4 linked regions of the Schizosaccharomyces pombe genome follow. The gene in region 4 interacts genetically with the main gene of each other region. Each region holds a gene or a part of one and is shown on either strand. Other genes may lie near its edges. The genes, in order: SPOM_SPAC521.03, msn5, arg12 and rem1.

Region 1 (6,887 bases), on a different chromosome or scaffold from region 4:
GAAGCAATTTCACTAAACTTATTGAAATTAAGGTAATAATATAATTTTAACAGAAAATTAATTGATTGTGAAAATATGTTAATTTTTGTACTGTAATGTTTTTCATTTCTATTTATTTGCATTTGAAAATTATTTTTCGTTAAGCGAATTCAAGAAGCCCTATGACGGTACCATAAAATATTAAAACGCAGTAACTCCATGATCGCTATATTGTATTTATATTATATTCTGACTACGAGTATCCTTTTAAGTGTTAGCTTTATGCTACGAATAAACGACGATGACCATCCAAATGAGAAAATAGGATTTATATCTGCTATAAAAGGAGATTTCCATGATCTATCTTCTGATTATTTAAAAAGAATTGCCGCAATGGCATTTCCTATTATGAAGGAGCATGGATTCGGAGTCACTTCGTTGGATGAGGTTGCTTACAATGCAAAATTTTGGGGAAGAAACTGGAATAAGGGAGAATGTATTGAGCTTGTCCTTAGAGACGCTTCAAATCGATGGTTACCATTTGAATTTGTCATGGACGTGTTTTTACACGAACTCTGTCATATTTGGCAGGGGCCGCACGATCGTCGGTTTTTCAGTCATTTATCAACTCTTCGAGCTGCCCTGATTGCTCTTTACGCCAAAGGTTATAAAGGCCCTGGAAAGTACATGACTTGGGATTCATTTGTCCTTGCCAATGTAGTAGGAAATTATAACACCGTTGTATTTAACGGAATAACTTTGGAACGCAGCACAATGCATGGTGTGGAAACTTGTGGTGGATCTTTGCAAAGAAAAAAGAAAATCAGAAGAAAGCCTACCCCTTCCTCAACAAAGAAGCGGAAGCTTACACGAACAGGACAAAAGCTTGGAACTGATATGAACATAAGATTAGAGCTTTTGAAATCACCTGCAAAACCCCAAGCTCAAAGCATGCGCGGAAGGGAAGCCCGAATTGCAGCGGCACTTCTCCGAGTCGACAATTCTAATGAATATAAGCCTAAAGATCACAATAGCTCTACAACCTTGGAAAACTATTTCGTAGTAGAATAAATTAGACAACAGAATAAATACATAAAAAAGAAAAAAATTTGTATACAAAATCAAATCACCTTTAAATTGTAGCATTTTTTGGGGGACATTTCGTACTAGAGTAACACGATTAACAAAGAGAAATAATGAATACATTAAAACAAACAGCTTTCATTTAAAGACTAATATATCTCTTAATGATTGATAAACCAATAAAAATGTATTAAAACAAAATATCATAAAAAATGGCAGAAAGTATTGTTCAAAAAAAAACACATAGAAATGGGAATTCGCTAGCTTTCCTAAGTAATAAATTTCAATAGATAGGGAAAAAAAAAATAAAAAAAATAAATAAAAAAATAAAATGAAAATAACTTAAATAACCAAAACCCTCGTTTCAGCACCAATTATTGAAAAAATCCATTATTAAGCTGCAAAACAGTGTTGAAACCTGCATGTCAAAAAAATTTCGCGAAAAGGTAAGCATAAATTTCAACCTTACTTCCCTATCACTACCAATTGCGTATTACATTACTATATGCGATTACTATTCACTAATTTTCTGGGGAGATCTTCTGTGATCTAACGCTGAAATTTGCAATCATTCGCAATTATATTTTATTCCAAGATCTCTAAAAAGAGTCTTTTTCCGTTGAAAAGAACATTTCCGATGTTCTACCATCTCATTCATATACAAATCCTAACTGCTTAAGGAAAATGATTTCCGCGGATATTCCACGGAGCAGCCAATTAATGAGGTTTTCGGTAGATAATCTGCTAATAACGATAAAAAACTATCTAATATTATCAAATTGATAGAATATATATATAGGAGCAAGTTAGGAGTTATGAACCTCGTAAATATTAGGAACCTCAATAAAGTCTTGGCGCACTAATAGGTAACCTAAACCAAGTACAGTCTGTTGATTTAAATCATCACCCCCACGTTATTTTCTAAGTCTGGAACATCTAGATTTTTACTGTGGTTTTATTATATAAATTACGTTCATTTGTAATTTTATCTTTGTATTTATTTTTTTGTTCTTACTCTTCAAATACTTTCTGCCTTATATCTTTAAAAATGAGCCGTTTGGATGGAAAAACGATTTTAATCACTGGTGCCTCTTCTGGAATTGGAAAAAGCACTGCTTTTGAAATTGCCAAAGTTGCCAAAGTAAAACTTATTTTGGCTGCTCGCAGATTTTCTACCGTTGAAGAAATTGCAAAGGAGTTAGAATCGAAATATGAAGTATCGGTTCTTCCTCTTAAATTGGATGTTTCTGATTTGAAGTCTATTCCTGGGGTAATTGAGTCATTGCCAAAGGAATTTGCTGATATCGATGTCTTGATTAATAATGCTGGACTTGCTCTAGGTACCGATAAAGTCATTGATCTTAATATTGATGACGCCGTTACCATGATTACTACCAATGTTCTTGGTATGATGGCTATGACTCGTGCGGTTCTTCCTATATTCTACAGCAAAAACAAGGGTGATATTTTGAACGTTGGCAGTATTGCCGGCAGAGAATCATACGTAGGCGGCTCCGTTTACTGCTCTACCAAGTCTGCCCTTGCTCAATTCACTTCCGCTTTGCGTAAGGAGACTATTGACACTCGCATTCGTATTATGGAGGTTGATCCTGGCTTGGTCGAAACCGAATTCAGCGTTGTGAGATTCCACGGAGACAAACAAAAGGCTGATAATGTTTACAAAAATAGTGAGCCTTTGACACCCGAAGACATTGCTGAGGTGATTCTTTTTGCCCTCACTCGCAGAGAAAACGTCGTTATTGCCGATACACTTGTTTTCCCATCCCATCAAGGTGGTGCCAATCATGTGTACAGAAAGCAAGCGTAGGCATTAAAACTATGTTACAAAGCTGTTCGTTATTATTACGATTTAGCAATTAAGTTCAATTTAATGTATGCATGAAGTTTTGAAATTTTATTAATAACACGTTTCCCAACTATTTCCGACATTCGGTTATATCAGAAGATATTCGTTATTCATTAGTTTTCGTCAATGCTTGAGGGCCCATAAAACGTAAAAAAATATAAACATGAAAATGATAAAGCATAACTTGATTGAAAATTGCGTATAGAGATCGAAGCCTCTTCGTTTCTTATTACAAAAATGGTTCACTGAATGAAACGCAAGTTTCAAAGTGATGATGTAAGCTAAAAATAATAATCTATAATAAAAGTGTAAAAATAACTAGAGCTCAATTACAACATATTGACAACAAGGTGTGCAGAGAAAAAATCTAGTAGTTGAAGAATGTGAAACCAAGCATGGAGACAAGGTATGCCAATACCAAAATCGAACCTTTGAAATAGTTGCTTTTCCCTTCTGAATGAACATAGGTTAACAAGAAAACGCAAATCATCACGCAAATCATGTCCCACGTTGGAAAAACCATGGTAAACAAATGCTTAAACGATATTGAATCACCAGAACGATAATATTGAAACAGACTGTATCCCATTAAACAAGGTATCTGCAAAAGACAAACTTGTAAAGCATAAGCGGACCCAATTTCCATTGACAAAGCTATATTTTCATTTAACGCAAATGATATAGCATTCATAAACTCAGTTGTATTCGGTACTAAAGCAAATAGAGTAAGTCCAAGAAACTTCTCGCTAATGGCAAATTTATCCAAAACCGTATCTACATGTTCGACAAGAATCTCGGCAATGAGGGAATATAAGAATGTTGCCGACAAAAGAATGATAGCACTCTTGCTTCTTGACCAATTTGGAGCATCGTCACCGTGGGAGTTCTGACTTTGATTAACTAGAGGTCTTTGGGGTAACTCGTTTGTTGGTTCATGCTCTAGCGACTCATTTTCACTTCCATTAGACGACAACCCTGAAGAAGCATCATCACGGTTGTGATGATGTTGAGAGTTGCCGTTGACAACAGCCTCTCCTCCTTCAGAGCTATCCGACATATTGCCTGCAGTATCTTGATTTACAGGCTCACCAACTTCTTCCTCAGCCTTGAGGAAAGAGATATCATCGGCGGTAAAATTTTGCCATATATGGGAGGCATGAGTTCTTAAAGTAAACCATAAACCAATCGCATATGCCAGTACAAGCATAATCGAACAACAGTAAGTAAATGGAAGGACTCTATTTTTATATAGTGAATCATTTTCTAAAACATAGTGTTTCGTACACTTCTGACAGTTCGCGCCACAAGGCTCACAATCTAACCTAAAAGGACCATAGATTCGAAAAAGCATAGTGGGGGCAAAAGCACCCAAAACAGCAAAAAGAAGCATTGTGCTAGTTGCACCAGCAGACTTTATGTTAAAAAACTGAAATTTCTTTCGAATTGCACCAGCACACATGGAGAGCCCAGGCATCAAAAGTAAACCAGCTAGTATACTGCCAATTACACTTCCTTCAACCAGTCCAGCGTTACCCTTACGCAGAGCAACTGAGTAAAGAAATACCTCAATTACTGAACCAAAAAAGGCATTTATAAAAGCGCCCATTCCCATACTGCTTTGAGCCGAAATTGAAGCCACGGCCATTCCAATAAAATATGCAAGAGGGATAATACTCACCAACGAAGCAGTGAATAAAAATACAGAAGAAGTAAACCAATGACCTTGGGATCCAAAAAAGCCAAAAAAAATGGTTGGGATTATGAGCGCTAGCATATCAAAATAAATTATGTAAATACCATCGATAGTATACTTATAATACTTCCAGCTTGCTGCTTTTTTTACACATAGTAAGACAACATCTGAAGAATCCATCGATAACGGCAAAGCGAGATTTGGACGAAAAGACAAAGATAATGGGCAAGTTCGCAAATGTCGACAAATAGCCCATAAGGTCCTTGCACATGGAACGAAAAAAATAGTAAACATACAAATTGCAGAGGTAATGAGTAGTGTCGGAGCAATAATCAAGTAATACATAAGTGTATAAATGATACTGGAAGCGTTTCTTCGATGTGGGGTAGTATTGCAATCTAACGATTGGTTCATTGGATTAACACAGAAAGAAAACGAAAGGAAGTTTAAGCGGGCCGGATCCGGGTGATGTGAAGTAGGAGTTTCATCATAATGGGAATGTTGAGTCTGATAAATTGGATGAGCAGGAGAGCGTACTGATAGACGCTTGACTTTATGTCGAACATGTTGACCAAAGGGATAGAGGAGATAAAACATAAGGCCTCGACAAAGCTTAGAGTAAACGATCGCGTCAGGCACATTAAAAAATGAAAGGACTGTAAAAAATATATAACATATAAAGATCACTAGAAAAAGAGGAGCCCCGAAACAAATCAGCCATATGACATTAGAGATGGAGGTGTTGGGGCGTTTCAGAGGTTCATCGTGAATATCAATGTCAGCATCACGGTTTATGGATCGGAACTTTTTATATAATGCGGGTTTCCATAGCCGCATCCCGAATGCACGAGTCTTGTTAATAGCGTTTTGCCTTTCTTTCAAAGTAAAGGATTCTTCAGATCTGAGAGAGGCGGGAGACTGACCTCTTAAGGGAGACAGAGGACGTACCTTAAAGTTCTGCTTAGGAATATCTCTTTGTTGCCGAACATTACTAGAACTACGACTTAAACGAGATACCGAATTTCTGGGATGCTGACGAGCATTTGAAATAGTTGAAGTTGATGGATCAGTCCGAGAGGAAACTTTCCGAGTATACTGATCAATTTCTCTAGGAGAATATATGTCACGATCATTGGTAGATTGGGATAATGAATCCGTTGCATCAGCGTCGCCCACAGTTGGCATTAAGAAATCGCCGAATCGCAGATTCTGTTCATAAACTGAAGAAGAAGGAGTTTCTTCTGGTCTATCAGCCCGTCGACCCTGGGTAATGGTTTCCGCAGAGCTCTCAGATTGATTTATATCAGCAGGTTGAGACATTGTAGGCGGTAGTAATTGTCACAATGATTACTTTTCCGAATCAAACCCTCGCCAAATATTCTATCCCTTAAAACACCTGTACGTAGCTAAGAGGATTGAGTAAATAGGTATTTATAAAAAATTGTTGAAGGAATAGTGAGAAAGGAAGGCATGATTGGAAAGGTTGCGATCATTTTCTATTACGCATATCATAATCAGAATACCAAATTGAAAAAAAGAACGCCAATTCTACAATATCGAAGTCCTCCCATTAGTTCGTTAATGAGCATACAATGTTTACTTCGTTAAAGATTGTCGGGATGAATTGAGCTTAATCAGAGCCGAGCATCGTTGTACAGTTTACTAAATGTAGAGCTAAGCGATAATACGCTAACTTACGGTATCGGTTTTTGTAAGAATACACCGAATTTCGTTAAGTACAAAGTATTAGTAGTAGTATGAAACAAAAATAACAGTCACAGCCAAACCCAAACAATTTCAGTTACTGTGTTATATACTAGTTCATCGTAACCACAGCAAATCTCTTTCTGCAAAAGGATCAGGATGGGTATTACGAGAGATTCCCGCCACAAGCGCTCTGCTACCGGTGCTAAGCGTGCTCAATACCGTAAGAAGAGAAAATTCGAGTTGGGTCGTCAACCTTCCAACACTCGTATTGGACCTAAGCGTATCCATGAGGTTCGTGTTCGTGGTGGAAACAAGAAGTTCCGTGCTCTTCGTCTTGACTCTGGTAACTTCTCTTGGGGCTCTGAAGGTGTTTCCAAGAAGACTCGTATCATTCAAGTCGCCTACCACCCTTCTAACAACGAGTTGGTTCGTACCAACACTTTGACCAAGTCGGCCATCGTCCAAATTGATGCCGCTCCTTTCCGTGTTTGGTATGAAACTCACTACGGTATTTTGATGGGAAGCAAGGGTAAGAAGGCCACTGCTACACCTACTCCC
Region 2 (9,973 bases), on a different chromosome or scaffold from region 4:
ATGCTCATATAGCTCATGGTCCAATTTAGCCGATTGTTCATGATTGGCAAACCGATTGTAGTAATGTAAGTATCTTTCTAATGAGGCTCTAGATTTCGATTGCGAATCCCTAGCGCTTGTACTACTCTTCTCTTCATATCGATTGCATGTGTACCAGTTGTTCCCATGCTCAGTCCAAGGACCCAGACAAACCCAGCAAAATTCGTATTTGCATTTCTTACAAGTCATATGATTACAACCACCGTTTTTCTCAATAGTGGTAGAACATTTTGGGCATTCTTTCGTGTTGGCATGAATCCAGTTGGCCGTCTCAGAATCGTCTTGGCATTTCTGGAGCCATATTTTTACCAGTGGACATATTGTCGGTTGATGGTTGTCATGTCCACAGCCAAAACAGAACTGCTTGCCACAATTACAGGTTACTGTAGGCACCACCGAACTTAAACTAGCTTGTGTAACATGGCACTCGATAGCAAACTCACAATCCGGAGCTGGACACCATCTTAAATGATCATTATCGTCAACGAATGAGCGATCCAGAAGCCGATGATACCGGTCAAGTGACTTTTCGTCTAACACTTTTGTGATGGATTGAATGGATACAATTTGCGTACAGCTCTCTTCAGGGCATTGAATGACACTTTCACCTTCACTTATTCGGGAATCAAGATATTGTCTATAGCAAGCTAAACAAAATTCATGATCGCATTCAGCACTGAAAAATGGGAGACAACCTTCATCGTAACAAATCTCACAAGTCCCTTCATGGTGAACAACTTCCCGCTGTTTAGAACCACTAAGTCCCACACCTGCTTTTTGAAGGGATTCCTCTGGAGCATCAATATACCTCTCTAGCAGTCTTTCGCGGTTCCATTTGAAATATCGATATAACCCTAGCACTTGCTCTCTCGTCAAATCAATGATACTAGTAAGTTGATTAATCTTCTCATTTAGAGAGGCCCTAAGATCGCGAACGCTGACCACTCTATAGCTCACGCTGTGAGCTCTCCGCCGTTTCCTCTCTACAGTGAACCCATCATCATCGATTTCTGCATCTTCATCAAATTCATCCTCGAATTCAGAAGCATCCAAAAGATCGTTTTCAAATTCTTCCTCATAAAATTCATCGTCCAATAGGTCAGACATCTTAGCTTTAGTTATTCACCGAAATTTATTTAACCGATATTCAAGAAAGGTATACAATGAATGCTTGTCTATCAGCAAAACCACTTGTTTTTTTGCCGAATTGCCTTATATAAGCAAAAAACCTACAAATAATCCGAGCAGGAAAGTAATTGTTTAAACCGCAAACGAGATGCCACAGCAGATGGAATCCACTCAAACAAAACAAACGAGTAAATCGTGAAATCTTTAGTAAAGCTTGTCGTGAAATGGCCACCTGTAACAAGACTGAAAAATAAGAGCCAGATGTATGCAAAAGGTAAAATACTTCGGCTTTGGCCTTTATGAAATGAGCAAGACAATTGCCCTCCTGCTTTCCAAATCAAAAATGTTTTAACGAAGTGTACGGGAGATGGATGCTGCTGCATTCAAAGAATATTAGAAATTTAGCCTCCATCTGCAATACCAAGTGGGGGTTGAAACGAGAAAAGAAAGTTGACTATGTATATAACACACTGCAATGTATCGTTATCGATGAATGGCAGGCTAAACACATGCGGTGTATGCTGGCTTGATTGTTTCTTGAAACACCCAACACGCAGTTACGATCTTGCTTCGTTTCAAGATTATTATTAAGGAAAATTCATTATTTATTACCTAAGTATTGGAATACTTGTGATTACTTGATTATCTTTGTAAATTTCTTTGCATCACAAAGGAGTCCTGAAGTAAACAGTTTTTGAGTTTCAGTGACTCGATTTCAATAAACTGGTTTTGATGGATGAAAAAGGTTTATCAAATATTTTACAAGCTCTGAATGTGGTGCATTCGCCTGAAAGCTCGCGAGAAACTCGGTTCTCTGCCCAGCAGGTAAGTCGCGATGAGTCATAATGGAGATAGCCATGGTGCTTTGCGGAAACGGTCCATGAATATTTGCTAATTATCGTTTTTAGTTACTAGATGAACTTAAAGATTCGTACAGCAGTCCATCGGTCGCCATTCAACTCTTAGAGTTGAATGAGCAGGCTTTTTCCTCACTCGGCTGTAAACTTGACATTCATATAGTACAACATTTCTCTCTTAGTCTTTTTGAAACGAGTGTTGGAATGAATTGGAAAAGTTTCTCGAATAAGGAAAAGGAATCTGTCACTAGCTTTTTATGTAAAATATCACTCGAAGACAATAACCTGCTGTCCGTACATTTTGTGCGTAGTAAACTCGCCTCCGTATTTATTGAAATTGCAAAACGAGACTGGTATAACACATGGAGAGAAGAATTTGACTCCTTTCTACAATCACTTTGGTCTTTAAGCCTTCAGCATCGTCAACTATCTTCCCTCATCTTGCGTGGTATAATGGAAGACTTGTATCAGTATGATGATCCCGTTGCATCCTTACGCTCTCATATTCTTTTTAATGCGCTTATCAGCATCCTATCCTCTTCTTCCACCCTGCACAAATTATATCCTTCAGGTCTTCCTTATTCCGTTACTATCCCTTCTAACAATGAGGGTTGGCTTATCCGGTGGGGCAACGCTTTAGAAAGTCAAGATGATGCTTTAGAATGCTTAAAGTGTTTCAAAAGCTGCCTGTCCTGGGTAGCTACTGATTCCATTCGAGAGGCAAACATCGTTTCACATATTTGTCAAATTTTAGTCCAAGGGCCAATCTTTTTAAAAACACACGCTATTGATTGCATTTATATTTGTGTAACCAGAACCATGGAAATTGATGATCCTCTGTGGGAAATAGTCGAAGAAATGCTGTCCCCATCTAGTCTCTATACCCTCCATCAAGTTTACACTGCCACATCTGAATCAATAAATATTAAAACACTTTCATCTACAACTCCCGAATATATTCTTTTAAAAAAACTGTCTGAGACCATAGTTGCTTTGGGCCAATACAATTACCTTGACTCTAATCGACGGAAATGTATTAAACTCACATCCCTGGACACTTATTCCTTACTAGTATTGGAAATCATGAAACATCCTAGTTTATTAATCAGTGCTATATCTCAACACTTTTGGGTTTTAGCATTGAGGGATCCCATTATTTCCAAACATGAAAAATTTCAAATCGTTTACCCTGAGTTGTTAAGTATTGCCTCCGAGAGGTTACTTCGTTTTGAGGATGCAGTTGTTGAACTCATACCGGAGTCTGCTACTGCTAAATACCTTCAAGAGGATGTGGAAGGTGTTTCTGCTGTGCATTCGTTTTGCGGTAACTTTCGTAGGTTTATGTTTGACATTGTTAGATTAACCGTATCCATCACTCCCATCGAGTCCTTAAACTGGATTCAAAATCGTTTTCAGTCAACTGTTCTTGGCAATATGGAAGATATTCAATCCCAGACTGAATTTTTTTCAAAGACCAGTCCTCTTTATCTTACAATGGATGTTGGATTTTCAACGATAGAAGCGTTTTTGCACGGCGTTACTCGTTGGAACGAAAACACTTCTGATGATCCCGCTACTTATGAAATAATTTTACAAAATCTGTTTTTGTGGTGCAAACAGCTTGTTGAAATTAACTTCAAAGACCCTATGCTGATTACTCGTTTGATCAGTGTCTTAGTGTTATTTACATCCATTCTTGCAAGAGAAAATACTACCCTGCTTGGTGTTGTCCTTGAAAAAATTATATCTGCTGTCACATACGATAACACTTCCGCATCGTATGGATTTTCCGATGTTCAAAAAATTAATGAGATGCGGAGTAGATGCTGCTTTGAGCTTGTGAGACTAGGAGAACTAATGCCGAACCCTTTGATGAATATCTTTGATCAGTTGCAATCTATCATCGATCAATTGGACAATGCTACAACATTAACGGGCTCTGAAATTGTAATGTTAAAAACATTTCTGTTTGTAATAACTCAATTTTCTGATGTCAATATTGAAGTCAAAAATGAATATTTTGAAAAATTAGTTGGACCGGTTGTCAAGACTTGGCTTGATGTTCAGCCACCTGTTAACAGTCCAATGGAGTTTTTGAATCACATTGGGTTTCCTCAAATGGCTGAATACTTATCAGCAAAGTATCCTTACAATGCTGATTACACACAGTTTGAACTGGATGCTGATGCTGCTTCATATCAATCAAATCTTGAAACTGGCCGTAAATGGTTATGGCCGATTAAATGTTTGGGGAGATTTTGTGAAGCCACCTGTAGTAATAAACACATACATCCATCTGAATTTGAAGGGCAAAAGAACCTATGGCAAGTTATCTTGCCAAATGTTGTTCCAAATTTGTTAAAATTAGTTGAACAGTTGCATTGTTGTTATGAGCCTTCATTTATAAGTGGTCTAGGAATGCACAATTCTTCGATACTTCAAAAAAGTATTGTTGAAAGATTTTGGTTGCATGGTGTAAGTCAAATTTCTAAAAATCAATTTTTGGAAGAGTCCTACAAGATGGACGTCTCAGCTAACAAGTTAATACATTCGTTCGGTCATTTTTTAAGGCGTTTAAGGGAATACTGTTATTATGCTATAGCTTCATTTATGCGTCTAGGTCAAGCATTTTTTTGTGTACCCGGATTGTCTAAGCAGTTTTTGACAGCTTTCTTTTCTCATGCAGCTGGGTTAAGTTTACATCAATGGACGTCTATGGTGAATGTTGTAATCAAACCGTATTGCGTTAATTGTCCTGCAGAACTTCGCGATGAATGTCTTTTACCTTTACTGCCAGCTTTGCTGTCCGAATTAGATCACAAACTAGTTAGTGAGTGGCGGCGGATTAACGATCGCGGATTACTTGTTGAAGAAGATGCTGAGGAGACAGGAGAGGATGATGATTTGTCAGAGGAGATGATTGAAGAGTCCTTGCTTCGTCATCTAACTTATGCTACCGCAAAATTGATTACCGAAACATTTTTACAAATCACTCCTACCCAATCTCGGTCCAATGTTTCTTCAAGCTTAATAGGAAAAGAGACTGTTGAAGGTCCTGTAAAGCTTTCCGAATATGTATTGGATAACGCTATCATTTGCGAACCATTATTATGCACATTATGCCATTTATTGGTGATTCATGACTCTCGGACTGTGGGGTTGGTAGTAAATGCGTTTTTGGCGATTACTCCACTCTTAGTATCTGAGCAGGCTCATTCATTAGTACGAGAGTTTATCTGCCAACAGGTGTTTCAATCAGTCATTCTAGCTATCCATGATCCTTACTTTGAGTCAATGCAGTCAGATTTTATTCGATTAGCTTGTATTATTTTGTCATACTCGCAAGGAATTACTGATTCAGCGTTTCAGTTGCTGGCTAGTATTCCGGCCCTTGCCAATCAAGAAAATTTGGTTCCAGCATTTTTCAACAAATTCCGTGAAGCCTCCACGCTAAAAATTCAAAAAGCTTTGCTTACGAGACTTCTTAATTCCGGTCGAATTGTACCGAGAACTGACCGTAGAGCTGTCAATGCCGCCATCCTTGATGTAAGCGCCAAAGAAATGCTGAAAAGGTTTGAAAAAAGTGTTAGCTTGCAAGACGAGCAAAAAAATGATGTACTCTCAAGAGACGAAGATACGGGGTTGGCCAATCTCTTTGAATAAAAGATAAAATCAAGGAATGGCAAGCATTCAAAGATTGTTGTTTTTTTTACGCGAACACATTAATTTGATATCACGACTTCTCATTCAGAGTAGTCGTTTTACTCAGTTCAATAAATTCCTAGCTTTATTTCTTTTAGTACTGTAAATCAGCAGCATTAGCATTGCTTGGAAATGAGTTACTGGTTAACTATTCGCACATATGGTCATTTTATGGAATTAACCGATCCAGCATTTTTGAAGTTGTGGAATGATTTTTTAAATTTATCATTATGACTTTATATTTAACGTTTAATGCTTACATTTCTTAGATTTTAAAAAAGGGTGAAAAAATAGATGTCCTTTATCTCTTTGCAAAGGGAAAGAGATGATTAGTCTTTTATATTTACTATTGTTAATGATGTATATAATGGCATGCATGTGTTTATTGACATCTATCAATGTAGAAGCTGGGCAATTTTATATAAGCCAATATACGATGCTTTTTTTTTTAATTGCTTGTTATTTAATAAACACTCATTTCTTTCTATGTAATTTTCGGCTAAAACGCCTGTATTTATAATGGGACCTTTGGGGTTGTTGGAAATCTTAATTTGACTGTTTTGAATTTTAGCTATTTTGTTTACATTGCTCAGTCTTTATCAATACCACACCAACCCCAACATCCGGAGGTTTCACTAATACGAGATATCATTAGAAAATCCCCTTAGAAGTATTTAATATATACAATATTATTAATAGACTTGACTATTTCGTTTAGTGTAGACTTTCTTTCCAACACCCAAGGTTGTGACCCCAATTTGCGTGCTCTAAGGTTTACTTACTATTATAATATAGTTTCGACCTAACAAGGTTCCCCATCATCGTATATCTCAAGAAGCTACATATCGCAAACGAAGCCTTTTATAAAAAGCTGATTGAAGTTTTTTATAAGGCTGTTTTAATGCGGCTCTCATTTCTTCGTTTTCAGAGCAACTATCTGGTGTTTTGACATCAATCCCATACATGCATCAAAAATGACGAAGAAAAATGCCTTTAAAAATTCAGAAGACATGAAGAAATATCATTTAAGCGAGTTTAATTCGGAGGCAACATCGCTTACTAGACCCTCTCCAAAAAGTAAGAAGGCTGTGGACGACGATCACGGAGAGTTGAGCAGATTCACTAACAAAGTTAGGTTTACAACACGTTCCTTGTAAGTTCTTTAGGCAAGGAACTTGTACAAGTGGAAAAAACTGTATATTTAGTCACGATTTAGAATTGGCGACAGAGAAAACTATTTGTAAATACTTCCAAAAAGGAAACTGTAAATTTGGTTCTAAATGCGCGTTGGAACATGTTTTACCTGATGGAAGAAAAGTAAAGACAAGAGCCTTTGCCCCATCTACTACAGCTATGGGCTCAAGCTCTCAAAACATATCTGCTGCTCCTATGGCTAACATCATTTCCAACAATGACAAAATATTGCCAATGACTACTATGGCATCAGCCACAGCTTCAGAAGAAAAAAATCGAATAAAAGATGAAGCTTTAGTAATTAAAAAGGAAGAATCCAACGTAGCTATTCCATCGGAGGTGACTGTTGCTGCCAATGCGTTCTCCGCTTCTACAGAAGACGTATATTCTATTGTGGGGGATAGTCTCTCAAAGAAAGCATCTGTTAAGGATTTCAGTGATGTGACTGGCATAGAAACCATTCCTGCCTATGTTGAGGCAACTAATGGAAGTTCCACGGTACGTTCACCACATGCAAAGCGTAGCCTCAGCTCCATATCTGTTAAAAGCTCTACTTCTCCATTTTCTGGAAGCAAATTTCTATCTAGTTCTTCCTATCCGCATACGCCAGAGGCACATCTTAACTCCAATCACATCTCACCCGCCTCATTTGGCAGCGGAATCAGAACGAGAAACATATTCAATCCAGAATCTATGTCTCTTGGTTTGAAACCCCCAATACTAAATCGCTCTTACAGTGCATCTATGGCTCCGGGATTTTCTATGAATACCTTTACCGCAACCGGTAATCTTGGACGTCCTACCAAAAGCCCTTCGGTACCAACAAGCGTCGGAAGTAATAAGAGTAGGAAGTTTCCAGGAATAAATGGTAGTACGCTTACTGCTACTCCTAGTTCGCTTGAGAACCTTTATCCACTATCAAGTCGTCGGAGCGTTCCCAATCTTATATCTTCCCTCGGTACTAGTCCCTCGACGTTTTCATCACAGTTCCTTAAAAGTACTGACCGAACTCATTCTTTCACCTCGAAACTTCAAAGTTTTAATCCTGTGGGGACATCTTTACTGGCTTCTTCCTTGGGAACTTCACAAGAGGACTCTGTAAATTATGACATTCCTGACGAGTTCGCTAATGAGGAAGATTTCATTCCCAACAGTTTGCAAGAACTCTTGACTCCAGAGGAGTTGGAACGAAAAATGAGCCATGGTGATGAAGCAGTAAGTTCTTCCTCAGCTTCAAGATTTATGTCAAAGGTTTCTTCAAACCTGAATAGTGGGAATCCTACACCCTACAATTCTTATAATGGAACACCCACCTCCAGTAGGTTTGTTGCATTTTTTGATCGTCATCGACAAGAATCTGAGAAAGCTACTCCTCCTTCACTTAACAAGGTTTCCCAGGAACCGCTTACAGCAACTACACCTAAAAATTTAGGAAATTTGACTGCAATATCTGAAACTTTAGAAAACGGACAAACCCTGAAGTCTAACATGGCCTCTTCTATTGAAAAATCAAAAACTTCAACAGAAGTAGTGGCTTCTTACGATACAACTTTGGATGAAGAGACTCAATTCCAAATGGATGAAGCTTAGCATATGCCCTATATCGTTAGTGGCTATTTCGATTTAATAATGTGGCTAAACAAAAAAAATTTAGCTTCACAAAAAGGTGATTATTTTCGTGTTTCACCACTTATTTATTATATTTGTGCTTTTAATGGAGATACCAAAGGTTGCGAGCTTTATCTATGATTGTCACTGCTAGTTAGTATTGGTAATAAAAGTAGTGATAGCTGTTATTTACATTGAAACTGCAAGTATAGTTAACTTGGTGACAATACTAACGACCCATAAAATACTGATGAGATTTTAAGAACTCCATTTTATTAAACCAGTAGAGTTTAAAATAGTAGAAAATTTGTCAGCATTGAAACCGTCTAGACATTCATTTTGTTTATTTAGAGACTTCATAAAAGACGATGGGTGGACTATCATAGTAAAGTATTTTGGGAGAATCCCACACCTCCAGCTGTCGAGCATAGAGGTTTTGGATGAGCTTCAAAAAGTTAAAAAATGTCTCTTGTCGTCGAAGACTAGCGCTAAGGATAATTTTACAATTTGGATTTATTGTTATAATTTGTGTTAGGGTAGTAGCCAAGCACCTTAAATCACAATCGTAAGTCTATAACATACTGCATAATAATTAGTACGCATCAAAGAATGCACTAATTATTAAACAATAAGTTTCCGTTAGCAGTTTAACCTTAACACGACTTTTCAATTTCCTATTTATAGTTCAAGATTCTTGACTTACCACGTCGGATGCAAAAACAATATCTGAGAATTCTGGTGGATCTACTCCCCATAGTAACTTTTTAACATTTATATCACAATTGTTTAGTCGAGCGTTCTCTCGCACACCATCACACACTTTTGTATCACCGTCTGTAGCCAAGACGATGGACCCCATTTTTGCACATAGTATACTAACAAGACCTGTACCAGCTCCTAGCTCTAGTACCCTCATTCCTGATTGAACGGGATGTTGATATATGTATTCGGCGAGAGCCATTCCTGCTTCCCATGTACGAGCTCCAGTGGTTCCTTCGCGCAAAAGAACATGCCGGGATTCCCGTATTAAAATATCATACTCTCCTAAAGAATATTGTACAGGAGGTATATACGTGCTGGAGAGAGATTCGATATAAGTGTACAGCAGTGCCTCGTTTCGTTCATTATGGCCGCTGTCAATAGAGTCTAAAAATCGAAAATATGATTTTAAAAAAGCCCTGGTGTATGCCGAGGGTGTCACTATTTCCGAAAGAAACACTTGTGCATAGTCATTAAAGAGAATAGGCCAGTCAGTTGGCTTGCTTACCCATTGAAAGCGATATAAGTCAACTTGCTGAAGATATTGCTGTTTCACTTTTGTTAAGAACTCGGGGGCACCATGCATACTCCCTGTGATGCCTATGATAATTAATTGCCAGCAAGAATATCGGTTACAAAAATAACTCACTAAATGACAGTTAGCAATGCATTGTTATACTTTTCTC
Region 3 (7,260 bases), 1.5 Mb from region 4:
AAAGAGTAAACCACGGCAGTCTTGAGTAGCTTTAGCGATACGGTTAAGGTGATCATTAGCAGACTGGAAGAGGGAATCAGCATCAGAGTCGTGCATTTGCTCAGAAGCTAAGGAAGGTTCCGTTGGGTTACCTTGCAAAGTACCATGGAAGTGTTTTTTATAATAATGGTCTAATAAATCCATAGACATAGGGCCTTCTAGCATATAAAAATACCTTTTCATGACATGACTACATGTGGTTAGTAAGATTACTCAATCGATTGTTTGATTTTTAATAAATGGATGCTGTTTTGACTTACGGAATAAGTCCGTTGGATCGACAGTATAAATACCCACCAGTGGTGTAGGTCAATGGTTTTTCATCCTTGGCTTTCTTCTTGGATTTTTTTTCTTCAACCTTGGGAGCTGCCACGCTGTTTGGATCATCATCTGCAGGATCGATATTGTCGACTGTTTCAGGCTCCTTGGGTTCCTCAGGTGCTTGTACTTCTGCAGGAACAGCGTTTTCAGTGGCATCATCATTGTCGGTTTCGTTGCTCAATGGCACCTCCAGTGTCTCCACCTGGGCCTCAGCAGATCCCGAATCATGTTCATTGTGTTCCGACACATTTTCGAAAGTAGGTTCAGCAATCTGCTCAGGTCGTTCTTCACGGCCCTCATAAGACATGATAAGAAGTCGAAAACAACAGTTAGGCTCTCAATTTTGGATTTTTTTTATGCTGTAAATATTTGTGGTAGAGGAAAAGTCTGCGCCAAGCTGGTTATTTGAATACCAATTGTTGGCGAGAATGTAAACAAACAAATCGACTACCTAATATACAAACAAACGATGGACATCAATAGAAAAGGGAAAATACATAGAATTTACTTTTTAAATGTTAAAAAATTTCTACTAATTCATTCTTATTAATAAAATCTTCAACGGCCATTAAATCTTGTATTCGCTCATTCGTATCAAAACATATACATTCTTCTGGAATCGAGCTGTCTGCGATTGAATGAACTATATAGTATTGAGAGATTTTACAATTAAGTGTTTGTCTTTAATTTCTAATTGCGACTACCATCCTAAAATTTTCATTTGAGTTGAAATCTGTTTAACAACAACAGATGAGCCATATTTTTCATTGACTTTATACATGATTGTCACCATTAGTTCCTTTTTTTATAAAAATTAAATGTTGTTTAACTATTCTGCTCATTTGTTTTGCTTAAAAACTAAGTAGGTTTTAATTGGTAAGAATTTTACGAGATTTTAAATTTTTATTTATTTACTTATTATTTTTGACGAACGCTAGTTTCAAAAAAGCAAATCCAAACTCGAGGTATTTTCAAATTGTTTAAAATTTTCAATAGAATGGAAGGATGTTTTTTAATGCTTTCCACATCTTTGAATTGGAAATTTCCTTTTAATATTTACACTTCTTCCAAGAAAACTATAGCAATTTGTTTCATTATAACGACATAAGTTTGTAGGAGAAAAAGTGTGAGAATATAAAAGTTCCATAATAATACATTATTCTCTATGGATTAATTATTTTTTTTAAATATTTTTTTAAGTTAAAAAGCTGGTCTTTCCATCCATGTAAAAATTGGAAAAGGAATATCGAGAAAGCAAAATAAACCAGGCCCTACCTGCGGAAAGGGATTTTTCTTATTATTCAAGAATACTAGCAGCTTACCTCTAACGATTAAAACAATGTATATTTTTGTTTCAATACTATTTATTTATAAATTGAATAAGTAACCCAACTTACGCCAGGTTATTTTCGCATTTTATGTAAACGCTATAATGCGATAGAAATCGCTAATTTGTACTGGATTGAGTAAGTATGAATATCTGACGTGCCAAAAACCATGAAGCAATTTGAAGAACAAATTGAGTAGGTTTTTATGAATGTCACGTATTATGTATTTTTCTAACAAATTTAGAAGGTTTAAGCAGGCGTTATTTGAAGATTCTGATGGTAATTATTGTCAAAATGAGATTTATAATTTTCACTAACATCTCGTATAGCCTCGGATTCCGACTCTTCCATTGGAGAGGCACTTACAAATCGTGGATTAAAAAGAAAGAAAGGATCGAAAAATGTATATTATGGTTGCGTCGGTAACTCTAGTGGCTCCTCTATAGACATTGATGTATGTGTGAGTAATTGGGAATCGTAAACTGCTAACCACTACTTTATAGTACTATAACATTGGTAATACTAAAAGAGGAGTTGTCTCTCATTTTCGAAGGAGAATAGATCCGGAATGGTTGGACCATGATAACCCATATAACGATATAAACATAGCTGGTAAGTCGTACACACACTTAGTTATGTTAGACATACAATTTTTTTGATTCATTGTGCTTTTGGAGATTTCGTGTTGTGTTTTCAAAGATTGATTATGAATTGAATTGAAATATTAGTTATCAGCACTCGCCAATCATGGTCATATACATCGATCGCTTGCTAACTCAGTAAAAATTATAGAGATCATGTCACCGCTGACAAAACCACAAGACTTGCTCACACATCCTGCTATATCTTCCATATTTGAACAAAATTATTTATCAATCCTTGCTTCTTCTGCTCTTGAAATTATATCTGCTGAACACAAATATACTGCTCATCTCGAACAATTGATGGTTGCACTTTTAGGTGATGACCCATCACTACCAGGACCACCTCATGAAGTGTTTGGGATTTCTCCTGAACAGTGTAGAGAATTGACGATCACAGTTCAAGAAGCTTTGGAAAAAAGCAAGGAGTTTATTAGATGCTGGACAAACGTTCGCATGGACCTTCTTCGGGCCATTCGTTTTAAAAACAAAGTCATTGCTTACTGCCAAGGTGAAGACTATAATGGTAATACCCAAGTTTTGTCTAAAAATGAGAGTGATGGAAAACCAAATTCCTAAAATTTATTGATTTCTCATCAATCTTTTCAATTTCATTATTTTGAAGCTGATGAAGCGTATAAGTCAGCAAAATAAAACGTTGAGAATATTATTCTTTATTCCATTCGATTTACAATTCCTTTTTACGACATTATAAAAATAGAATTATCCTTTTTTAAAACGTCTTTGGTGATTTCTTCTGCAATGAAACTTAATTATTTCTTTTACTTTTTCATAACGTTGGGTTTTTTCTCAAGCTTGGCATCCCCAGCTATTAGAAACTTTGTCTTATAATTTGAGATACTGCTACTTACATATTCCCTTTGGCTATCCTAATTTCTATCCACACTTTTTTCTACTTATTCTTTCCAAGGGAAGTACGTTTACGTTTGCTGTTACATAATTTCATTTATCACTGTTGTATATTTTTTCGTTCAATCAACCGACTAACATGTGCTTGCCATTTGTATGTTAATACATTACTTATCCTTTATTTTGCTTTTTCATTTCCCCAAAGTATTAAAATTGTTATTTGTTGTGAAATTGCCCAACCTTCTTTTTGTTAGAACAATGTAAGTGCTTGAAACAACAAGATTACAAGGATTTATCGCAAAACATATTCAAGTAAACATCAATCTTTAAAAACCTGAAACCATCAGAACTATTGTTTGACTGTCCCTGATATGATTGTATCACTTTCTTCCTCAAAACTAAATTCAGACACACTAATCAATGCATGTGTGACAAGATATTTACGATTCCTGCATGTAATTTAACCGAAACCTGTTTTCACACATTTCTCAATTAAATTTTTGTTAAGAATTCCTATACTAAGAAAAATTTTCAGATGTGTGTAAAATTTCCATCGTTTATCTATAAAGATGGTTTATTGATGAGAAAGATAGTAAAAAATAGTGTCGGCTATATTATTACATCAGTGCGCTATCAGTTTAAAAGGTTGGGCCTACTAACTTAACATATACTACACCTCAAGAAAAAGAAAGAAATGCCCCAAGAAGTAAAACGTTGCGTTCTCGCCTATTCAGGTGGTCTTGACACCTCCTGTATCCTCGCCTGGCTTATTGAAGAAGGTTGGGAGGTCATCTGCTATATGGCTAATGTTGGTCAAGAGGAAGATTGGGATGCAGCCCGTGAAAAGGCCTTGAAGGTGGGTGCTAAGAAGGTTTACGTTGAGGACTTGCGTGAAGAGTTCATCAATGACACCGTCATTCCTGCTGCTCAAGCTAACGCCATTTACGAAAATGTTTATCTCTTGGGCACTTCTCTTGCTCGTCCTATCATTGCTCGCCGTCAGATCCAAATCGCCGAGAAGGAAAACTGTATCGCTGTCTCTCACGGTTGCACTGGTAAGGGCAACGATCAAGTTCGTTTCGAATTGGCATATTACGCTTTGAAGCCAGACGTTCAAGTCATTGCTCCTTGGCGTTTGCCTGTATTTTTCGAGCGCTTCGCCGGTCGTAAGGATTTGCTCGAATATGCTGCTGCTAAGGGCATTCCCGTTACTCAAACCACCAAAAAGCCTTGGTCTATGGATGAAAACATTGTACATTGCTCGTATGAAGCTGGAATCCTCGAGGATCCCAGTATGACTCCTCCCAAGGACATGTGGAAGCTCACCGTTGATCCCAAAGACGCTCCTGATGAGGTTGAAGAGCTCAGCATTCACTTTGAAAAGGGTGCTCCCACCAAATTAGAGTGCAAGGATGGTACCTTTAGCGGAGTCGTTTCCATCTTCTACCAATTGAACGCTATCGCTCGTCGTAACGGTGTTGGTCGTATCGATATTGTTGAAAACCGTTTCTCTGGTTTGAAGAGTCGTGGTTGTTACGAAACTCCTGGCTTAACCATTTTGCGTACTGCTCATATGGACTTGGAAGGTTTAACAATGGAACGTGAAGTTCGTGCTCTCCGTGACCAATTCGTTACTTTCAATCTCGCTAAAATTTTGTACAATGGACAATTTTTCTCTCCCTGCACTCGTATGCTTTTAGCAGCTAACAACGTTTCTCAAGAGGTAGTAAACGGTGTAGTTAAACTTTCTGTCTACAAGGGCAATGTCACTGTCCTCGGTCGTAAATCTGATACTGCTCATCTTTATGACGAGAAATTGTCATCTATGGATGAGCTTGGTGGATTTGACCCTACATGGACCTCTGGTTTCATCCAAATCGAGTCTATGCGTTTGCGTAACTCTGATGAAGGAAAACATTGGATGTAAATGCCAGGTCGTTCTCAATAATAATGTCATACTCACCATGTACTTGAGCCAAGCAATAATCAAATTTCTGCTGTGCAAATAAGAAGTATTATTTGAGATGGCTTCCTTTTCATATTCACATTTCATAGAATTACTCCGTTCATATCACTGATAAGTCAATTGAATATTTTTGTTGCAAAAAAAAAATAAATTCTGAAAACTGTAACTAATTGAAATTGAAGTTTTATATTGCAAACGCAAATTGTTAAGATGTTTAATGTACTCAATACTATGCTTTTAATTTAAAAAATATTTTACAGGCCTTTAGCCATTCTTCGTATACAGTCCTAAAATCAAGAATAATGTCGAAACCATCTTGAATGATAAATGAAATGAGGAACAAAAAAGATGAAAAATATATTACTAAAATAAAATTTTTTAAAGCATATCCATAACACTTTGTACTCGGTAATCTGAAAAAACAAAGAAGATAACGCTGCTAGTCAATGTTCAAAAAGATCCGTTATTGATAAACCAGTAAGCAAAGAGACAACCGATTAGTAAGAAAAAAGAAATTACAGCAAGTGTTTTGAAGAGGGCAAGGGCAATACTGGTAGTCTTATTTACAATGACCAAAGAGAAGTATAACACTATAATCAAAGTCAAGATATTAATAGCTGAGGGCAAGCTCAATCCTAGATTTCCATTGAACAATGATTTTAGGAAAGACGTTTCATATTTTTCGAAACTTTTGCCTACATTTTCAACGGTTTGAAAGACTTGATCAGGATTGGTATTTAATCCATGGTCCACAGCAAGTTTGGCGACGAAATTCCATAAAACGGATGTCAAAGACATTTTCTAAAAAGTTAAAATATGAACGGGGAGTAATAGAGATGGGAGTAGTTAGGTGTGCTTTTTGACTGAATGTTGACGTTGTAGGCGAATTTTACCAACGATTACATTTGCTAATAAAATATGTTAAAATAAAAATTGGAAGATGAGTTGAAATAAACGGTTCTATAAACAAAACTCATTTAAAGAAAGAACTGGCAAACAGATTATGTCAACATATCTCATCTAATATCGAGACTACTGATAAAAAAATCTAATTTGCTAATGACTACAAGCTTTTATTGTTTACTCTTTGTTGCTTACAGTTCTAGTCAAAGGAGGTATTTTATTTTCGTATTTCGCTGTACATAGCATAATTTCATGAAATGCTTTTCTCTATAAATATGCTTTTATAAAGAACTAGTTAATAAAAAATTGCTTATTTCTAAGCTCTTTTAGGATTAGTAATATATAAAAAGGAAGATAAGTATTTTTATCCCTTTTTAACTGGATTGTTATTACTATAAAAGAAAGACTCTTACGGTTGATAATAAAAGCGTAGAGATCAGAAGATAAAAGTAGAATTCACCGCCTATATTTCCTTTGGAATAAATATCCAACAGTATACTTACTATTATAGAGAGAAAATTAATTTCCCTTTGCCCTTTATCATATAAAATGGTTCTTTTTATGCTGAGTGCCTAGCATAATTCCTTCCTTTTCGAAATATCAAAAGGCTTGTGAGACTTCAATTGGTAAATGCTTTAAAGTGAGTTATTACTAGCTCGCTTCAACCACTTCAGCTTGATTCTCCAATAACCGAGTTTTCAAAAGTACTCATTCTTGCAATTGCTATAAAATTTTTATCTTTATTTATACCATTACCATTGTAATATTGTTATAAGGCATCGCTTTACTTACTGAACATAAAAAAAATCTTCATCATAAAATTAATTAAATGTCAGAATAGAAAAAAGTGTTTAGAGGGTCCAACCGTACAAACAAACAACTTTTACGTTTTTAACATTTTCATTTCTTCAATAACCCCACAGTTGTTTTAAGCTATTACTTAAGCGAGGGCTGCACATGACAATGTGGCTAGTATACCCTTTATATACATTTTGAATATGCATATGAAACCCATTATATTAACGCTGGAATAGCGGGAATGCTTGTTTATTATATTAATTTATTCTATTGGAATGAATAAATCTTTTTTCTGGACATTTAAGAACGGCATGAAACAAGTAGCTCTAATAAATTAAATTGTTGGATCTTACTAAAGACTAAATATTAATAATAATTTTCTCCCAAGCTATTT
Region 4 (6,842 bases):
AAAAGCAAACAAGAAGCGAATCTTTTTTTTAATCTTTTTTCTTTCGTAATTGTTATATGTGAGAAGAGAAGGACGAGCGAACCCATCAATATATAGTAAATGAGTCAATGCCTTACATCACGCCCAACTCGAGCGATTCAATACTTTTTTTCCAATCTACGTCACGTTCTTCATTGCAGAATGGCATGGTGAGTGTGAGCGTAGCAATAGGCATGCCATTCCAATGCCCAAATACGTCGCCATCCACGAGCCAAATTGAAACAAACGTCACCGACCCTACCAGTAATTAAGTTGAAGGATGGAAAGGGAAAAGGATGAGGAAAGGATGACGCTGTGGAGTAGAGAGAGAGAAGAGAAGGGCAGTGAGAGTGAGAGTGAGAGAATGGAGAAAAGGTATGAATGAAGAAAAGAAGGAATGAATAAATGTTGGAATGTAAGAATGAATTGAAGTTTATAGTAAATAGAAAAGTGAAATGTTGAAACCATCTTTTCTTTTCTTTTTTGCCATCTTTTCTTTTTTTCTTCTTATTGTTTACATGATGAATTGTGATTGTTTGATAATATTGCGTTTGTTTTTCATCTCTCCTTTCTTTTCTACCTCTTTTGCTATTCGGTTGATTTCCTCTACGTCGGTCGCAACTCAGCCATCAGCCTGGCCCTTTGACATCGAATTGTCTGTATTTTCGGTGTGGTTTGTTTGTTCATGCTGGTTGTCGTGAGTTTGACTCCTCCAGTCGGTGTTTGTGTTGGACTTTTCCATCATTTGCTTTCTCTTGGTGGTGGAATTACGACGTGCATTACGTCGATGGAAACGGGAATTACGAAATGGAGCGGGTCGCTTCGATGCAACTCGCAAATGCAAAAAGAGAAAGGGGAGAGGAAAGGAAAGGAGGAAGAGAGAAAAAGAGGAAAAGAGGAAAAGATATGGTTTCATTCCAAGAAGATGAAAATTCATGATTATTGTATTGTATTGTATTGTATTTTATTTTATTTTTATTTTGTTCTTATTTTATTTTATTTTATTGCATTATATTTTATTCTACATCCATTCTACTCGACTATTCTCTTTTTCTTTCCTTTGTTTATCAAATGCTCTCATCTTCACACCCTTACATCCTTTTACTCTTTACTCTCTTCTCTCTTCTCTTCTCTCATTCCTAAGCACTCCTTGCATCTCGCTCCACTACGAAAACTAAACTTATCGCACTTTGTTTCTCCCCTCTGTGCTATGTTTCCCCACGTTGGCTTGCGCTTATTGCAAACGACGCAATGATGACGAGCCCTTGGAGACAGGGAAACCGGGGAAATGCTACGTCGATGATGTTTGCAAATCAATGTGTTTGCCAATGTTCAGCAACAACAATTCCGTCTGCATACTCTCTGAAACATTTCAAATGTATTTAACTCAACAAATGTTACAACCCAAACTTTTTCTATTTACGCCCAAATACGTTGATAAGCATCTTTCAAAAGAACTGCTCGTTTCATCAAATGACTGCTCCAAGGATTCCTATATTCATGAGCTGATATGGCTATTCATAGTATCATAGAGCATATTATCAGATAAGACAAATTAGGTTACAGATTTTTGGTAGCATAGACATCTAGATACACACAACAACAAGATATAGATAGGACCACTAGGTAAAAATTATTATTAATAAAATATATACCCTTACTAAAAAAAAAAAACAAATAAATAAAAATAAAATAAATTTAAAATAATAATAACAATAATAATATTTCTTTTTTTTATTTTCTTTATTTCTTTTTTTTTTTAATTTAATTTTGCTTTTTATTCTTTTTTTCTTGTTCAATTTAGGTACTTTTCTTTCCTTGTCTTGTTCATCTTTTATTTTCTTTTACTGTATTCTAAGGCACTCCTTTAATAAAAGGTACTTGGTAGCGATTCCTCTTCTCCTTCTCACAAACCTTTATTAGCGACATCTACCGCACTACCAACCTCTCGACATCAACTTGACCCTTCGCTTCTCTATTCCGTCCCACCCTCCCTCGCTTTTTACAAACCTTCTTACTTAGCGATACACCTTAATTCGAGCTTCTTTCACAAAAGTCCATATCAAGTCGTTCGTCTCCCTTTTCACTTCTATAACCCCAGTCTTTACTCTCTCGTGTAATTTTTTTTCTCCTACTCTTACTCTTCTACTTTTACTACTACTCTTCTTTTTTCTCTATTTTCCTACACTTCCCTCTCTCTCTCTCTCTCTCTCTCTCTCTCTCATCCTCTTCATATCTATCTTTCATTAAATTTCCTACATCTTACTTCTTCTTCTCTCTCTTTTCCCTCCTTTTTCTCTTCCCCCCCCCCCTCAACTACCATCCATCGCCATCAAGTTCGTATTTGTCGCAATCCAGTCATGCACTTGTCGACTAATCCCATGGAAATACGGTGTTGCATACTTTGAATAGATCGCATAGTGGTGATCAAACGGATTTTCTAGACATTTCAACAGTAGATGCACATACGAAACTAAACTCATATAATCATATCCCGTAATTTGAGGCAACGTATTGCTCCAGTTTTCCTCTTGCAATATAGATTGGCCGGTGTAGGCGCATGTCGCTACCAATTGACTCGCCCTTAGACTTGAAAATCTTTGTTCCACTAGCGATACTTCAAGAAAATATTTTATCATTATTCGCAGCTGCGACTCCCATTTGTTGACAATCGTCAATAGCCTCAAAAACGATACTGGCCCCGGCCACCCAAGTTGATATTGAAGAACCATAAGCATATACTTTTCCATTCCGCAAATATCTTCTCCTATCCATTCTCCCTCCAACACTATTTCCAAATCTTTCACTGTAGGAGGATGGATCTCTTCATACTTGCAAGCAATAAACAGCGCCGTTGCGCCGCAAAGTTTCATTTTCGATGCTGGCACATTTTGTAGAGATAGAAATCTATCCAATACATTGATCGATAGGAATAAGGATTCTGGAAGCAGGTTTATACATGTATGCACCCCCACAATCCAATTGATCACACTAGCCCTCATCTCTGTAACATAATATGGTTGAGCCGACATATGTCGGTAATCAGGCATAAATCGAATCTAAAAAATGTTAATAAATAAAAACTTCTTCAACTCCTTCATCTTCTTGTTTTCCTTCCCCCTTTTCTTCCCATTTTTTTCATACCTCCAATTTCTCCATGTGCGATAGGATTTCTTTTGCGTATTCCACAGACACCGATTCATCTGCTGAATATCTCATCTGTAATTCCTCCTCTTCATCCTCCTCTGCACAATTGTCATTTGATTCTTCAATCGCTATGCCAAATTCCGAAACACTGCAATTAGGACTTTGAACGTTACTGATCGAGCAAACATCCAAATCTACCAAAAGCTGTTTCTCCGTAAAGACTATCTCTTCCTCTAAAGGTGACGCTAAAAAACTATCATAGTCCTTTTGTATTTGCGACTCTTCAATTGAACTAATTCCATGCCAGCTCTGTGACGGAAAATGTTTATCTGATGGGCTACACCCATTTTGAAGGGATATTTCTCGTACCTGTGCGTTCACCCAGCCTTTTACGTTCAATGATTTGGAAACATAATTGCTTATTTCTTGAAGCGCAACTCTTTTGTTGTTAGAGTTCATGTTTGAATTGGTTCTCGTTGCTGAAACGGTCGCTTTAATTGTTTCAACCAAGCTCTTAGGTAGGCAAGTATCAGTCAATACAATTGCTTTTACTCTTTAATGATTGGGAATCAAATCAAACCGTTTTCTTGAACTTTTTGTTGTAAAATGGCAGTATGCTATTAGCAGGTTCTGTTTGTTTACAGTGAGTCAACAAAAAGTTGATGGTGAAAATGTTTGTTTATTTCCCATATACATATACCAACGGTCGTAACCTTAAAGTAAAACACAACCCAAAACTAAACTTTACCTCTACTATATCAGAATTCATGCTGCTTAAAAATTCCAAACAATGCCCGAATTCATGAAATAGGTTTTTGTGTTGATCGAAACGTTATCAAAGTAAAGCAAGGATTTTGATCAAAAACTCTTTTATTATTTGTATTGATGAGTTTTTACAGTCGCTCATCGGTTGTAAACATTCCATTATTTTACCGTTTTCGAATCATTGAAAACTGAACATAAGAAATCTTGCTACAATTAAGCTTTTTTTCTATTAGGTAACCATCAAACAAGCTTAAAAAAAATAATTAATTTACGCCTTCTCGTAAGTTATTATAATCAAACAAATTGAAATGTAATTGAAAAGAATCTCCTATTCTAAGATTTTTCTACAAACTTGCTTCGAAAGTTTCTTCTGCACTTATACAATGCTATAAGGAATATTCCTTTCTTCTAATTTTGATCGATTTTCGCAAAGTAGGATTGCCTGATACAATGTCAAGGATCTGATTTAATTTCCTTAAAAAAAAAAAAAAGAAAGAAAATGAAAACTCAACAACTTTAAATCATATTACAGTTCCCATATTTACTTGATATCCCAAGTTTACTACGACTTAACTTCTACCACTATCCTTTGAGAAGCACATGGATTCGAAGAAATAGCATATGGAAGTTTAAAAGTTAACGGGTCTCCGAAATCCATTCAAAAGTTTAATTCCATAAAAACAATCTAACATGCTAAAATTTCATCGTAATGTGAAGCCTCAATTTGGTGCATTTGCAAGGTATAGTAGTTTGGGAAAACACAACTCTCGTAAACGGGTTGGAATCATCCGCTTAGCATATGGGTTGACAGGAATCGGCTTGGTTGGATTAGCTGGCTTCGCTTGGGCTCAAGATCGTCACGAGAAAACGTATCAGAAGAAAGGCGTTCAGGTGGAGGGACCATGGCAATTTTATGTCCTTACCACTTTACCATTACGAACTCTCTCGCGTTGGTGGGGATATGTTAATCGTATTGAGATTCCTCTATGGATGAGAGTGCCAGCGTTTGGCCTTTATTCTAAAATATTTGGTTGCAACTTGACAGAAGCTGACCCCGATGATGTCCGCCAATACAAAAATCTGGCCGAGTTTTTCACCAGAAAGTTGAAACCTGGAGCGCGCGTAATTGATCCCGATGCCCCAATTGTTATTCCTGCGGATGGGAAAATCTTGAATTATGGTGTTATTGAAGGAGGTCAGCTTGAACAAGTAAAAGGTATAACCTATTCCCTTGATGCACTATTGGGCGATGAGAAGTTAGCTCGTTTGAAGCGCAGCCATGCTATTCCCTCTCCCGATCATATCCCTCACATTCGTCAAGAGGAGTTTGCCAAGTTAAATGGTATACATTACAGTTTACAAGATTTAATGGGTCATGATCATGGTGAACGACCAAGCCATGTCAAAGATGCTAGCGCACAACATATTGATTTGTTAAGCTCAACAAAAGTGGCAGCCAAATCACAGTTTACGTTGTTCGGATCAAGAGAAACGAATTGTTTATACTACGCAGTTATTTACTTGGCACCAGGTGATTACCATCGATTTCATTCGCCGACTGATTGGGTCGTAGAACGAAGAAGGCATTTTTCCGGAGAGCTGTTTAGCGTTTCTCCTTTTATGGCTCGTCGACTCGGAAATCTTTTCATCTTGAACGAAAGAGTAGCTTTGATGGGGAGATACAAATACGGGTTTATGAGTATGATACCCGTCGGTGCTACAAATGTTGGCAGTATCCGAATTAAATTTGATAAAGATTTATGTACGAATCAGTTTGGAAAACTAGGCCCAGTAGGTACTTTTGATGAGGCTGTATACACCTCATCTTCTTCTATTTTGCATGGTCACCCATTACTTCGTGGAGATGAGGTCGGAAATTTTGAGCTTGGTAGTACAGTGGTATTGGTGTTTGAAGCACCTGCGGATTTTGAATTTTTGGTCAAACAAGGGCAGAAAGTTCGTGTGGGATTACCTTTGGGTCGAGTTGTCCCATCTTCCCATTAATAAAAGAGATGAACACTCATATTTTAGATTGTGGATTTCCCATATGTTTAATTTTATTTTCATTGTCTTTTTGTTGAAATCTACAAACTTAAGGGATTTTATCTTGGAATTTCTTTGTTTCAATATAGCAAGCAATGCATATTGGTATAAACTTGTTGTATTAAAAGGACGGACTGGATAAAACGAGAAGAAATGAATCTATTCGTCAACGTAATTATGATAATCCAATGTAATATTAAGTTAGGAAAAATACACAAATTAAAATATGTACATGCACTAAATTACAACCACTCCACCTTGAAGTAGTCGTACTCAACGGCATCTCAGATTTTTATAGTCTCATTTAATTAGCCATACAATTAAATATCGCTAATCTCAACTCAATCCTCATCATAAAAAAATATAAGGAGAGTTTGATGGAGACAGAGTAGATTTACTCGTTTCAAGTTTTTATAATTACAAGGTCCAATGAGCTGAGAACAAAGGTATTTAATATTATTGTATTTGTACAGATGCCAAACGATAGTTTTAATAAACTATCAATTAGAACATAAGATTGTTAGCTACACATAGTTGGTGGAAGTTTAATTTTTCAAGTCAGTGGAATATATAAAAGCACACTAGTGCAATACTGAGAAGTACAGCATTTTTCGTAATACACTTTGCATGTATGATTAATTTTTTTATCTCTACCGGTAATTTTATGAGATAAATAATTTGAATTCACTTTTTAAATGAGTTGTTTTCTAACAAGAATTCCTGGGAAGTATGCTGCGAAGTTTGTCAAGATCGCTCTGTGTTGGGATGAATTTGAATGGATTTTCTCAGCCAATATAGCGTTCTGACTACCTACAATTAGAAGAACGAAAGAATAAGATTAAAAGATTCCCTCCCTTTTATTTCAGAAT

Evidence for each region.
Region 1: mutations in rem1 (region 4) and SPOM_SPAC521.03 together harm fitness less than expected from each alone (positive genetic interaction), as found in Schizosaccharomyces pombe (one large-scale study listed by BioGRID).
Region 2: mutations in rem1 (region 4) and msn5 together harm fitness less than expected from each alone (positive genetic interaction), as found in Schizosaccharomyces pombe (one large-scale study listed by BioGRID).
Region 3: mutations in rem1 (region 4) and arg12 together harm fitness more than expected from each alone (negative genetic interaction), as found in Schizosaccharomyces pombe (one large-scale study listed by BioGRID).

The regions. Positions count from the first base shown.
Region 1 is NC_003424.3:843,035-849,921, forward strand, and holds SPOM_SPAC521.03 (dehydrogenase), read left to right. Parts: upstream 1-1,886; 5' UTR 1,887-2,110; coding exon 2,111-2,890; 3' UTR 2,891-3,108; downstream 3,109-6,887. Other genes in the region: DNA repair WLM domain metallopeptidase Wss1, read left to right, coding at 262-1,050; sst1 (calcium permease), read right to left, coding at 3,297-5,942; rps802 (40S ribosomal protein eS8), read left to right, coding at 6,486-6,887. UniProt on the Schizosaccharomyces pombe protein: NADP-dependent dehydrogenase with broad substrate specificity acting on 3-hydroxy acids. Catalyzes the NADP-dependent oxidation of L-allo-threonine to L-2-amino-3-keto-butyrate, which is spontaneously decarboxylated into aminoacetone.
Region 2 is NC_003424.3:3,466,734-3,476,706, reverse strand, and holds msn5 (karyopherin), read left to right. Parts: upstream 1-1,706; 5' UTR 1,707-1,899; coding exon 1,900-1,992; intron 1,993-2,075; coding exon 2,076-5,687; 3' UTR 5,688-6,194; downstream 6,195-9,973. Other genes in the region: dbl4 (ubiquitin-protein ligase ), read right to left, coding at 1-1,146; zinc finger protein Cps3 , read left to right, coding at 6,701-6,803, 6,862-8,510; efm3 (methyltransferase), read right to left, coding at 8,872-9,099, 9,232-9,873.
Region 3 is NC_003423.3:447,637-454,896, reverse strand, and holds arg12 (argininosuccinate synthase), read left to right. Parts: upstream 1-3,871; 5' UTR 3,872-3,893; coding exon 3,894-5,126; 3' UTR 5,127-5,457; downstream 5,458-7,260. Other genes in the region: pleckstrin homology domain protein Meu6, read right to left, coding at 1-229, 300-667; Clr6 and Rpd3L histone deacetylase complex subunit Rxt2, read left to right, coding at 1,858-1,883, 1,933-1,967, 2,018-2,142, 2,192-2,300, 2,481-2,908; nuclear membrane organization protein Apq12, read right to left, coding at 5,616-5,963.
Region 4 is NC_003423.3:1,951,089-1,957,930, forward strand, and holds rem1 (meiosis specific cyclin Rem1), read right to left. Parts: upstream 3,625-6,842; coding exon 3,163-3,624; exon of another isoform or gene 3,078-3,162; coding exon 2,331-3,077; downstream 1-2,330. Other genes in the region: SPOM_SPBC16E9.20 (uncharacterized protein), read left to right, coding at 704-1,273; phosphatidylserine decarboxylase Psd1, read left to right, coding at 4,621-5,934. UniProt on the Schizosaccharomyces pombe protein: Required for pre-meiotic DNA synthesis and S phase progression. Regulates levels of meiotic intragenic recombination.